3 linked regions of the Yarrowia lipolytica genome follow. The protein of the gene in region 2 interacts with the protein of the main gene of each other region in a pairwise test. Links are inferred from orthologs where the notes say so. Each region holds a gene or a part of one and is shown on either strand. Other genes may lie near its edges. The genes, in order: YALI1_D02362g, YALI1_B16944g and YALI1_E35023g.

What was found.
Region 1: the proteins of YALI1_B16944g (region 2) and YALI1_D02362g interact in a two-hybrid assay, tested with the Saccharomyces cerevisiae proteins (2 studies listed by BioGRID). The link is inferred for Yarrowia lipolytica from reciprocal best matches to the Saccharomyces cerevisiae genes SIP5 and SNF1.
Region 3: the proteins of YALI1_B16944g (region 2) and YALI1_E35023g interact in a protein complementation assay, tested with the Saccharomyces cerevisiae proteins (2 studies listed by BioGRID). The link is inferred for Yarrowia lipolytica from reciprocal best matches to the Saccharomyces cerevisiae genes SIP5 and MMS2.

The regions. Positions count from the first base shown.
Region 1 is NC_090773.1:234,218-238,553, forward strand, and holds YALI1_D02362g (uncharacterized protein), read left to right. Parts: upstream 1-1,998; coding exon 1,999-3,738; downstream 3,739-4,336. Other genes in the region: YALI1_D02345g (uncharacterized protein), read right to left, coding at 1-332; YALI1_D02348g (uncharacterized protein), read left to right, coding at 611-1,267; YALI1_D02399g (uncharacterized protein), read right to left, coding at 4,037-4,336. UniProt on the Saccharomyces cerevisiae protein: Serine/threonine protein kinase essential for release from glucose repression.
Region 2 is NC_090771.1:1,692,559-1,696,421, reverse strand, and holds YALI1_B16944g (uncharacterized protein), read right to left. Parts: upstream 2,009-3,863; coding exon 515-2,008; downstream 1-514. Other genes in the region: YALI1_B16922g (uncharacterized protein), read right to left, coding at 3,515-3,863. UniProt on the Saccharomyces cerevisiae protein: May negatively regulate the SNF1 kinase by promoting the interaction of the REG1/GLC7 phosphatase complex with the kinase. Deletion of SIP5 promotes resistance to artemisinin, which is probably an indirect effect of an action on the electron transport chain.
Region 3 is NC_090774.1:3,501,392-3,504,572, forward strand, and holds YALI1_E35023g (uncharacterized protein), read right to left. Parts: upstream 1,135-3,181; coding exon 1,121-1,134; intron 983-1,120; coding exon 577-982; downstream 1-576. Other genes in the region: YALI1_E35012g (uncharacterized protein), read left to right, coding at 1-270; YALI1_E35027g (uncharacterized protein), read left to right, coding at 1,342-3,181. UniProt on the Saccharomyces cerevisiae protein: Has a role in the DNA error-free postreplication repair (PRR) pathway. Lacks catalytic activity by itself. The UBC13/MMS2 heterodimer catalyzes the synthesis of non-canonical poly-ubiquitin chains that are linked through 'Lys-63'.

The sequences.
Region 1 (4,336 bases), on a different chromosome or scaffold from region 2:
GTAGGGGTGTCCATGACCAGAGTAGTAAGCACATGCTCAATGGCTGAAAGCAGCTTGATGACAGACAGTAAGTCGTGGGGATCGTCCAAAGAAGCCACTGTCGCAGCCAGATCTCGTTCAAGTAGCGTTCTTTCTGTGTCTGTTATTCGAGGACCATTGTGAGGCACTGCCATGAGATACTGAGTGTTGTCATCGAGCAGTTTTTGGAGCTGGGTTGCTGCAAAGCTCCCGCTTGATCGGTCGTAGCTGGATATTTCACATTTCGGTGGCTGCTTGCTGTATCCCGTTGCCAATGGCGCTGTGAACGGGTTTTCTGGTTTGTCAATGTTCATGTTTGGAGTGATGAAGGTTGAGTTGAAGATTGGGTTTGAGAGTGGCCGAGTACAGTGATTGGAATCGGTTCTTGAGCGTGATCAAAAAAGATTGTTGGTTTTTCAGGGAAACAAAAACGGTCCCAGAAATTAATCGCGCCATCATCTGTCCCTCTTATTCTGGCTTTTTTCTCTCCAGTCTCGCACCATTTCGGCGACACGCATGCCTCCTGCACTGCACTGTACATGCAGAACTATTTGTATTCTCCTCAGACAAGATCACCAAAGTAATCGTCACCATGTCCTTCAGAGGAGTTCCAGTATCATCTGCAGAGGCAAAACAGCGCCAAGAGCGAGATCTCGCCAAGTTGCGCGTGCCGAAAATCTACAGAGAGGCGGTGGACATGACCAAGGTGAACCGGCCGATCATCAACCGGTGGATCACTACGAAGCTGAATGAGCTGCTGCCAGACGACGACATTATCACTGATTACACCCTGGAACTGTTGGGTGGAGACAAGCCAGATATTCGGGAGATCCAGCTGAATCTGAACGGGTTTCTGGAGGAGAACACAGCCAAGTTCTGCAAGGAGCTGTGGGAGCTGCTGGTGGCTGCCCAGAAAGACAAGGACGGCATTCCGCCGCAGTTGATTGCCATCAAGAAGGAGCAGATGGAGCAGGAGCGGGTGAAGCGGGAAATCAAGATTGAGAGTTGGAGTGGTGGGGGCGGTGGTGGAAGAGACAGAGGTGATAGAAGGGAAAGAAACGACAGAAGAGACGCAAAAGGAAGAAACAGAAGAGATGGAGATAGGAGGAATGGCGATCGAAGAGACAGAGACAGAGATAGAGATAGAGACGACAGGTCAAGTCGTTCAAGTCGGTACAACCGATCAAGATCAAGATCTCCGACTGTCAAAAAGGAAACAGATGAATATGGCCGGGACCGGAAGGACTAACTGCATTATATATAAATATAGATTCTTGATTAGTGATCAAAGCATGAGATACTGTCAAGGCAAGCAAGCCTTACAATATCTGTTGGCTTAGTTAAATCTTTTTTGAGATGTAATAATTGGGGAACCTCTGTTAGATGAACAGTTGCGGCTTACTCATCTTAGACATGGTCCAGTTTAGGCGTAATTAATTATCAGTTTTAATGCGCCTCTACGTAATAAGCGTTGCCACAAGTTACAGTAGAGATGATACCATTGCTACAGGACCGTATAGCGTATATAATGACGAGGCTAATTGATGATGATCGACAGCGAAGACATATCTACGTCAATCTGACGCTTCATTTTGTGCTTCTTGTTCGGATTTGTGTTTCTCCCAGTGCACCCAGTTTTTTGCTGACCATTTTTTGCTTACCAGTTTTTGCTCGCGCGTTTTCTCGATTGAACTCTGCTGCGAGGGTGGTGTAAGACACACTCCCTGTAGAACATGCATTTCGAGGTGTGACATTTCCATCTCTGTTAAATCAAACGAGTGACACAAACGGAATAAATCTACATATACGTCGAACCCTCTTCTTCTCTTCTCTCTCTTCCTTAATAGACACCCTCGCTATCGACTCTGCTCCTCCTTATCACACCATCAAAGTTTAGGGTGTGTCCCAACACCACCTCCACACCACACTCTATTATCACCACCTCCACGACTACATACCACTCCTTCCACCACCTCACAAATGGCGACCGAACACGTGGAACACGCCGAAAACGCCAAGCAGTCGCCCCAACCGTCCTTCTCGGGCTCCGAGAGCGGCCGAATTGGCCGGTACCAAATCATCAAGACTCTGGGAGAGGGCTCCTTTGGCAAGGTCAAGCTCGCCTACCATCTGGCCACCCACGAAAAAGTAGCGCTCAAAATCATCAACAGAAAGACGCTGGCCAAGTCGGATATGCAGGGCCGAGTCGAGCGGGAAATCTCGTACCTGCGACTGCTCAGACACCCCCACATCATCAAGCTGTACGACGTGATCAAGTCCAAGGATGAAATCATCATGGTGATTGAATTTGCCGGCAAGGAGCTCTTTGACTACATTGTGCAACGTGGAAAGATGCCCGAAGACGAGGCTAGGCGATTCTTCCAACAAATCATCTCCGCAGTCGAGTACTGCCATAGACACAAGATTGTGCACAGAGACCTCAAGCCCGAGAACCTGTTGCTCGACGAAAACCTCAACGTCAAGATTGCCGACTTTGGACTCTCCAACATTATGACCGATGGTAACTTCCTCAAGACCAGTTGTGGCTCTCCCAACTATGCTGCTCCCGAGGTTATCAGTGGCAAGCTGTATGCTGGCCCCGAGGTCGACGTGTGGTCCTGTGGTGTCATTCTATACGTCATGCTGTGCGGCCGTCTCCCCTTTGACGACGAATTCATCCCCAACCTCTTCAAGAAGATCTCCAATGGTGTCTACACCATTCCCCCCTATCTGTCTGCCGGCGCAAAACACCTGCTTCAACAGATGCTGGTGGTCAACCCCCTGAACCGAATCACCGTCCAGGGCATCATGGAAGACCCCTGGTTTAAACAGGGCATTGCCGAGTACCTTGTTCCACGTGACCTGAAGCCTGATCAGGTGGAAATCGACGACAAGGTTGTGGGTGCTCTTTCAGACACCATGGGCTACGACCGAGACCAGGTCTACGAGGCTCTCAAGGCTCCTAAATCCGACGGAACCGAAATCCGAGATGCCTACGACCTCATGAAGGAGAACAGACAGCAGTTGGAGAAGGACTCGACCGTGTTCGACAAGGTGGACGAATCCGGCAAGCCTAAGCACCAGTTCTCGCGAAAGAACCCGCCGGCTCTGACGTTTGACTCACATCACATGCCCACCATTGTCGACCATTCTGATCTTCGAACCCCTAACACAACCATTGCTGTTCTTCCCTCCTCGCTGCCAGCATACCATCGGGCCAACATGATGGCCCATGGTCCCGCTACCCTGCGTAAGCTGAATCCCATCTCATCGCGAAAATCAAAGACCCGATGGCATTTCGGCATTCGGTCCAAGTCGTACCCTCTCGACGTGATGGGTGAGCTCTACCGAGCTCTCAAGAACCTGGGAGCCGAGTGGGCAAAGCCATCAGAGAACGACCTGTGGACCATCAGGGTGCGATGGAGATACACCCCTGAAAAGGATGAGTCGGACAGCACAACTAAGCCAGACAGCGGACTGCTTAAGATGCAGATTCAACTGTATCTGCTGGAGCAGAACTCGTACTTGGTGGACTTCAAGTTTGACGGCTGGGAGTGCGAGACGGAGAGCGGTGAGATTAAGACCCGCGATGTCGCCCAGGTGTCGAATTCAAAGTCCGCCAACGAGACCTTCACGTTTTCCGCATACCCCTTCTTGCATCTGGCCACCCGGCTCATTATGGAGCTGGCCGTGAGTTCTCAGAAGGAGAGTGAGAAGTAAGCACTTGTAGAGCACACTAGGGATTTAGAGGGGATTATGGCACGTACAATATAGATAATTAAGCAGTAGCTGAGTCAGTTGAATGATCAGAGGTGTAACATGAGTGTGGATGGATTGTGTAGAGTCGTTGTTTAAAATAATGAGTTAAGAATAATTATACGACTACAGGATACGATGTACTTGTATTGTATCGATACAGTACATACAGTACATACGTGTAACATACTCCTAAACTGTTGCATCACCTACAACTCCAACTAGTCGGTCATAATTCATTAATACGTTTCCCTGGTGTAGTCTAGGCCAAACACTCCTTGGTGAACTTCTTGAGAAAGATTCGCTCTCTAGACTCCTTGAATTCTCTAGGCTGGATTTCGGCCCAAAAAGAACCCACAAACGGCGCAATACTCTTCTTGTAGCCGGAATAGTTGTCTCGAATGACAATATCCGGGTTGGCAGACCGCTGCTGATGCTCCTTGACGATGATACTCTCAAAGTGGTCCACGGTAGACATGACAATAAGAGCCGACGAGGTTTTGCTCTTGTAGTTGGCGATGAGCGTTTTAAGTGCCCCAGAGTTCTCCACCACCTTGTGGAT
Region 2 (3,863 bases):
CAAGGTACCATATACATACGACCCCACTTCAAGCAGGCACCACAAATTGAGACAAGACATTCTGCAGACCCTGCAGTGCATTAATTACGGCGGCTAGAGTGTAGATCCTTGGCGACGTAGTAGGCCCCTGATTGCCAGGTTGCTACTTATCCGGTATTGAGGATATATGACGAGGCAGAATCCTTTTGGTTACATAGCTCAACTGGATACTGTCTGCTAATAGAAAGGTCTAAGTAGCTACAATAAACATTAAACTCATCTACAGTAGCTGTATCGTCGTACATTGTAGCTACTCATACTGTATTGTAATGTGTTAATACTGTATAATTGGATAATGTATCGTGCCTTCAGATACCATCTCATACACGCAATTGGCTTATTTCCACTGCTAGTGTCTGTCTACAACCCTCTCTACAACTCTCGACGCTATGCATATAAATATCTATTCGTTGGTTGTGGAAAAGTTGCTCTTGGTGGCAGACTTTTTCAAACGCTTTTACCTGACTCTTGCTTCCTACTTGCTCTCCTGCTCCCTGGAGCGCTTCTCTTCCGCCTCTTGGCTCTCCAGCATACTTAGACGCATAGCCTCTGAGAGCATGATCTGCTCCAACTCCTGAGCACGGGCAGCCTGCCGTTGTTCGTGGTTTTGGCGGGTTCGTCGCGATGATCTAGATGATCCAGCCACCTCCCCATTGCCTCCTTCCACAAAAGCCGTGGCATGAAGAGCGTTGGCAGTAGCAGCCTTTCGTGCAGCTCTAGCTCGAGCAGCAGCCAGCGTCTTTGACCAGTCGGGTCGCACACGATCAACGGTCACGACGTTGGGGTTGGTGACACTGATGGACGATCGACGCTTTGCACCGGACATGTGCATTAGCTTGTCAGCCACATCGTCCATGTTGGTGGTGTCAATGCCGTCTGATGAGTCTCCCGAATCATCAATAGCAGACTCGTCACCGTTCCCTTTGGCTGCAGCGGCATCAGCACTGTTGGCTCCTGCAGCCTTGGCTCCGGGGCCGTGTCGAGGCGAATACACTACTCCAAAGTCGGACATAGCACAGTAGGGACAGGCTGTGGGCTCGGAGATGAGATCCAGCTGTCCCAGCAACGTGTCAGGTTCAGGCTCGTCATGTCGAGGATGAGGTTCAGCTCGCTTCATTTGCACAAAACACTCGGAGCAAATGGGCTGGGCACAGCATCGGGTCATGTTGAGCGAGTTTGGGTAGTACAGAAAACAAATGGGACACTCGATGGGGTCTCTGTAGATTTTGACCATAAGCGGGGGCTCTTTGTTGGTGAGCGTTTTGGCCCGTTGTCGTGAGGGTGGTGGCTTGGGAGCCTCCCTGCTTGGTGGGGACTGTAGAATGCCTGGGTTTATGAGTTCGTCCCCGTCCTCCTGATCGGGTTCTCCGGAACGCATCCACGACGGTGTTGGGGCGCTCTGGGAAAACGTGGTGTTGTCCAGATCGATTCTCAGATGCGACATATGCTCCAACGGGTCTCTGAACGGGTTGTTCGATGACAAAGTGTGTCGGGGAGGCGAGATGGCCACCTGAGGAGGAGCTGTAGGTGGCGACAGATGTGAAGGTGTGGAAATTGCGTGAGGGGTTGAGGTGGAAGCTGAAGCGTCTTTTGTGTCTGTAGATTCGGTTGTAGGCGATTCTGATGCTGCACTGGGGATAGGAAAGCCCCTAATGGCAGCCATAAGTTGATGATCAGTCCATTCCTCCTCATAGTCCTGTAGACCCTTGAAAAACGGTGCAAGCTTGCGACTAGTCATCAGGCTCTTGACAACAAGAATGTCGAAATCCTGTGGTCCGGTGTAGACTCCCTGAGGCACCAGATAGCCACCATCCACTTGTTCATTGGGGTCTACAAAGACTCTTGGCTCCCGCTTTTTTTCTCGAGGCGCAGAGGGCCTCTTGGATCTGACCTGGCCTTCGCGGTGGTAGTCCTCAGAAACGGACCGTGCGTTGCGCACCTGCTGTTCTTTTCCCGGAACGTTTCCCATGGTAGAGTGACTGTGTAGACGAGTCTTGAGAGTCCGATATTTAGTCTGGTGTGTAGGTTTGGTTGCGCGCTTATCTTGGGTTAGGGTCACGTGCGGGGTGGGGGTGTAGCGAGTCTTGGAGGCTGTTTTGGACGTGATAGTAACCAGACTAAAAGGTATTTGCGATGTGGTTTGCCTGTAAATATATATTTTTTTGTCATCAACAGACCTCTACCGGTAGTTGTATTCGTTTCTACACTCATGTTACCAATCATACTATGCATTTGACATGTGTTGTCATGTTGGCGGAGCAAGTTATTGGGTGCAAACGTTGTGAGTGTCTGTCTCTGTGTGATATCTGTGTATCTACCAAAAGAAAAAAAGTTATATATAATGGGTGTTTCCTGTAGCAGTGTTCTGTATATTGTACCAACATTCTAAGTATGTTATGTTCTCGTACTTCTGTTGAGGTGCTACAGTACATAGCTCAGTCCTCGACGAAACGGCTCCCCCCTCCATTGCCTTGACTCTCCCAATGCCTCGCTCTCTCATAGTCTATTTCGAATGGACAAAAACGGCTACTGGTGCAAGGACAACGGCGGTTGCAAAGGTGTCAAACCACATGGAAGGGCTCTAAAAGGAAAAGCCCCATAAATTGCGCTAGCCGAAAAAGCCGCGGCTCGCAAGCTGGTGCACTGTCGGAATATCGGCCACACATATGCCCGTGACCGCAGATAGTCCCGATAACACCGATAACACCGATAACAATGATAACCTGCTGCATAACATCGGTAGGCAGGCGACCCTGGTCGCCGAGGCTAACTTTTGCCAGGACACTGACACCGGTTTTTCATGTGAAGTGGGGGAGGGGTATGAGCATATGTTGCCTGCGCAGTTATCGTGAACAAGTGGCTGAGCACGGATGGGCCGTGGTTGTAGTTCCCTTACTCAAGTGAGCATACCTGTACACACATTATTTCTCCTCTCACCCCAATCATATTTAGGACTAGCTAATATGGCTCAGTAAGTAATGTCGCATTGGACGTCTGTGAGGCTTCCACACTCATTTTGGTGAGTCTGTTATGTGTCGCAAACTCCCCTTTATGATTGCTTTGCTGTAAAGCCGTTCTTTGCTCGCCGTTGTCACTGAAACATGTTTCACTTGGGTTGCCGTGTAGAGACAACAGGCAATAAATGTGTGTACTTAAGACCCCCAAGTATAATTATGAGCATTACAAAGCACAGTCTTTTGATAGTTGGTATATTTAGCTGGCATAATTACATTCTGTGAGCTGTTTATCAACTATTGTAGCCATACTTTCGACTGAGAGTACTGATACTTGTACAGTACATCCCCCCTAAACCTCCGACTACTCCCGACAGGCACCTACTGGAATACTTAGCCTACTGCCTCTTGGTTATGTGTGATTGGTAATGCATGCTATAAATATGTTAGTGTGACGACTCCAGTTCGTCTAATGCTTCTCCTCGTCCTGTCCGTCTTCTCCACACCTGTCAAAAAAATGATCAGTAGACTCTTCTTAGAGAGAAGAAGCGCTCTCGAGGCGGGCTGTACTTGGTGGGGACTCCTGTTGACACTCCGATTCGAAACTTCTGAATCTCCTCCCATTGCTGTCGGGTGTTCATTCTCCAGAACTGCCACGAAGCGTCTGTGCCATTCAGAGACTTCAGCACCATTTGCACTAGTCCGTTTTGTGCCTTGTAGTCGCTCAGATCGTATACGGCGCTATCGATAACAACCACAAGCTTGTTCTTGTTGTTAGCCAGTTCAGCCACGGTCTCTGCGCTCATGTAATCGTCGTCGAGATCGGAAACAGAAGTGGCACACGTCTCTGGCATAGAACATACCGAAGAG
Region 3 (3,181 bases), on a different chromosome or scaffold from region 2:
GCTCGCGCAAAGATGCCAAAACACGTGGACGAGTGTCCTCTTAAGAAGCTGGTACAGTATGAATCAAAAACCGCAAATGGAGTACAGCTCCTGATTCCCTTCACACGATATTTTCGAGCATGTCAGGTCAACGGACGAGAGCAGTTGTATGAGGTGACGACAAAATCACAGAACGTCCCATTGAAAAACATTCGGGATATCGACCCGCTGGATGACTTCAGATCGGCGATGAAGCTGGCTGAAAATAAGGAGTATGAGAAGCCTGTTTAGGTAAGCACAGATTGGAGAACGAGTTTGGACTTTATCTCACACTAGTCTATCCCACCCTCCCCCACTCTATTCACAGCTGTCACTTTCTAAGCATCGGGGAGAGACGCCACTCCTAAATTGAACGCCTAGGAAAACCCTCTACGATGTCACCTTTGTAAATAGTACTAATATAAGTTATCAAGATCTACGATGTTCTTGGGCAGTTCTCTTTTGACCCCAAGACTCCACTGCCACTCTACTGTGTGTCAGGATACCGTACTCTCAGTACTTCTTTCGTGCTCATGCTCTGTTACTCTAATGCAATGGTTAATAAGTACTGCCTTCGGCGGGCTGGGGCAGCTTTCTGTTGGCGGGCTGGCCCATGTCCTTTCGCAGCTCCAGCAACACCGTCTCCATCGTGTTGCTTCGTTTCCAGTGAGCGAGACATGGCAGGTTGGCGGGAATCACCACGCCGCTCTGCTGGTTAACGCAGGGAATGTTGATTTTCGAAATGAACTTGACGGTGGGGGGCTGGTCGGGGTAATCGGGGCCACATTCGAGTGTCAACGAGTAGATGCGGTTCTCGTGGGCAGAGTGGGGAGGTCCGAGGATGGTTCCGTTCCAGAAAGTCATTTCGATATCGTCGGAATCGGCCAGTCCTAGCGAGCAAGCTTCGGATCCGATTCCTTTTTCACCGTTGTCGAGCTCCTCCAGGAGTCGAAATGATCGGGGCCTGAGTTAGTAATCCGGACGGTGAGGTTGCGTGACCATGTAGTTAGGGGTTCTGGGCGTTTGCTTGGAATACGTAAGTCAAATCCGCGATTAAATCAAAACAACGGTTGTTCCCACACTTCCTCCTCCCCATACTCACATTTTGGCGGCCATTATGTTGTCGTTTTTGGTGTTCTAGATGAGGTTAAGCTGTCAAGTAGGCAAGGTAATTAGCTCGTCGTGCTCGGAAGATGCATGAGGGTAACGTAAGGCCGGTTGCTGGGACAACGACGTTCAGGAACCTTAATTTCTACCACCAACATCACGCTCACACCTACCAAAACCACCGGACCACAGTCATCATAATACCCCAACGGTGCAATGTCGGACACTCCCTCATCGCCGTTCATTGAGCATCCGGAAACCCCCAGGAAAGCGCTCTTCAGTAGTAATCGCCCCTCTCCAGTTCGATCTACACACGCCACACCTTCGCTCCATGGCACACCATCCACCGCAAGTCGGTTTTCAAGAACCCCTAGAGAAGACGTGATCGGGCTTAAAAAAACGATTTCGCAGTTGCGCTATGATTTGGAGGCACTCAAACAGGAGCAACAGGTTGCTCAGATTCTGCAGGAGGAAAAGGAGCGAGAACTGGAGGCCAAGCACAAGAAAGAGCTGGATCGAGCTGAACAAGCAGAGTCTGACCAGGTGTTTCTGTTCAACAAACAAAAAGAACTCTCAGACGAAAATCGCACGCTTAAAGAGGAATTGCGATCTCTTCAGTCTCAGCATGAGGCTGATGGACGTGAATTGAATCATGAACTGGAAGGATTGAAGGACTTGCTGAATGATCTACAATCGGAGAACCGAGCTCTTGTGTCGGAAATGAACTACAAGATTGAAGACTACGAACACAGAATCAAGGCGGCATCTACAACGACTGACGATCTGCTCAAGGAGGTTGAGAATAGAGGTACTGCCCTCACAGAAGCTAAAATGAACGTGGTTAAATTCGAGCAGCTGGTAGAATCCTTGAAGGGCGAATCATTGGATCTCAAACAGTCGGCCAAAGATCTGGAGGCTGTGGAGCAGACTAAAAGTCAACTTTCTGACCAGATCAAGTATTCGCGAGAACTGGAGGCGAAAGTGTCTGCCCTGACAGTGAGAGTAGAGGCGGCTGAGTCTGCACAGCAGCTCAGTCAGGTCTATGAAGAAGATCTGAGTAGCATGAAGGGTAAATTGAAGAACATGGAAGGTCTCAGACAACAGCTAGCGGAACAGCAGTTGCAAATTCTGGTACATGAGGAGAACAGCGCCAAGTGGAAGGCCTATTTGGAAAAATCGGACGAGTTCAAAACTGTGGAGGAGGTTGTCACAGCTCTTAACAAGGCTAGAATGGAAAAAGCTAGCTTGTTGGAGCGTGCCGGTTCAGGAGTGAATGATGAAACCCGGTCTACAGCTGAAGCATATGCGAGATTGCAAGAGCGAGTCACCACCCTTGAGTCCGAGCTGCAGCTGGCCCAAAACCAACTCAAGACAGAGAAAAAGAAAGTTGCTACCTCTATCAGGCAGCACACACTTGCTGCCAACGAGGCAAAGTTCCTTAGAGAGCAGCTGAAGGCGTACGATGATGAGGAGGTCACAGCAGCTGGCGCTGACGTTAAGCAGGGTCGTATTGACGAGCTGGAGAAACTGTTAGAAGCGGTCAAGAACGAGAAGAGTGTTTTGGAAGGTGAATTGAAGGAGGCAAGAAGCGAGCAAGGGTGTACTGTTGCTGCAGGTACCAAACGACCTCGCGCAGACGATAGTGTATCGTCAGAAGTCATATCTGAGTACACACGTAAGTTGCAGACTCTTCAGCAGGAGTTTGATGAGGTCTCTGTCGAGGCCAGACTTCTTGCAAAGACCAAGGAGGCCTTGGAGGCACGGCTTGAGAGTCTTGAGAAGAGCCAGGAATCACGAGTGCGAATTCTTGAGCTGCGTGAGAACCCAACTTCTCGCCATGAAGCTGTCAAGCAAAGCATGCTGGACACACTTAAAGCTGAGAACGAGGCTCTGATGGGCAAGAACGAAAACTCAAAGTCTGTACCCCAGGCTTCACTTGAGAGAAAGCAGCTGGAACTCCAGGGTGTCAGAGATAAGCTGGCATCTACGGAAAAGTCGTATCAACGACTCAAGGAGGTGTTCTCGGTCAAGTCGCTGGAATTTAGAGAAGCAGTGT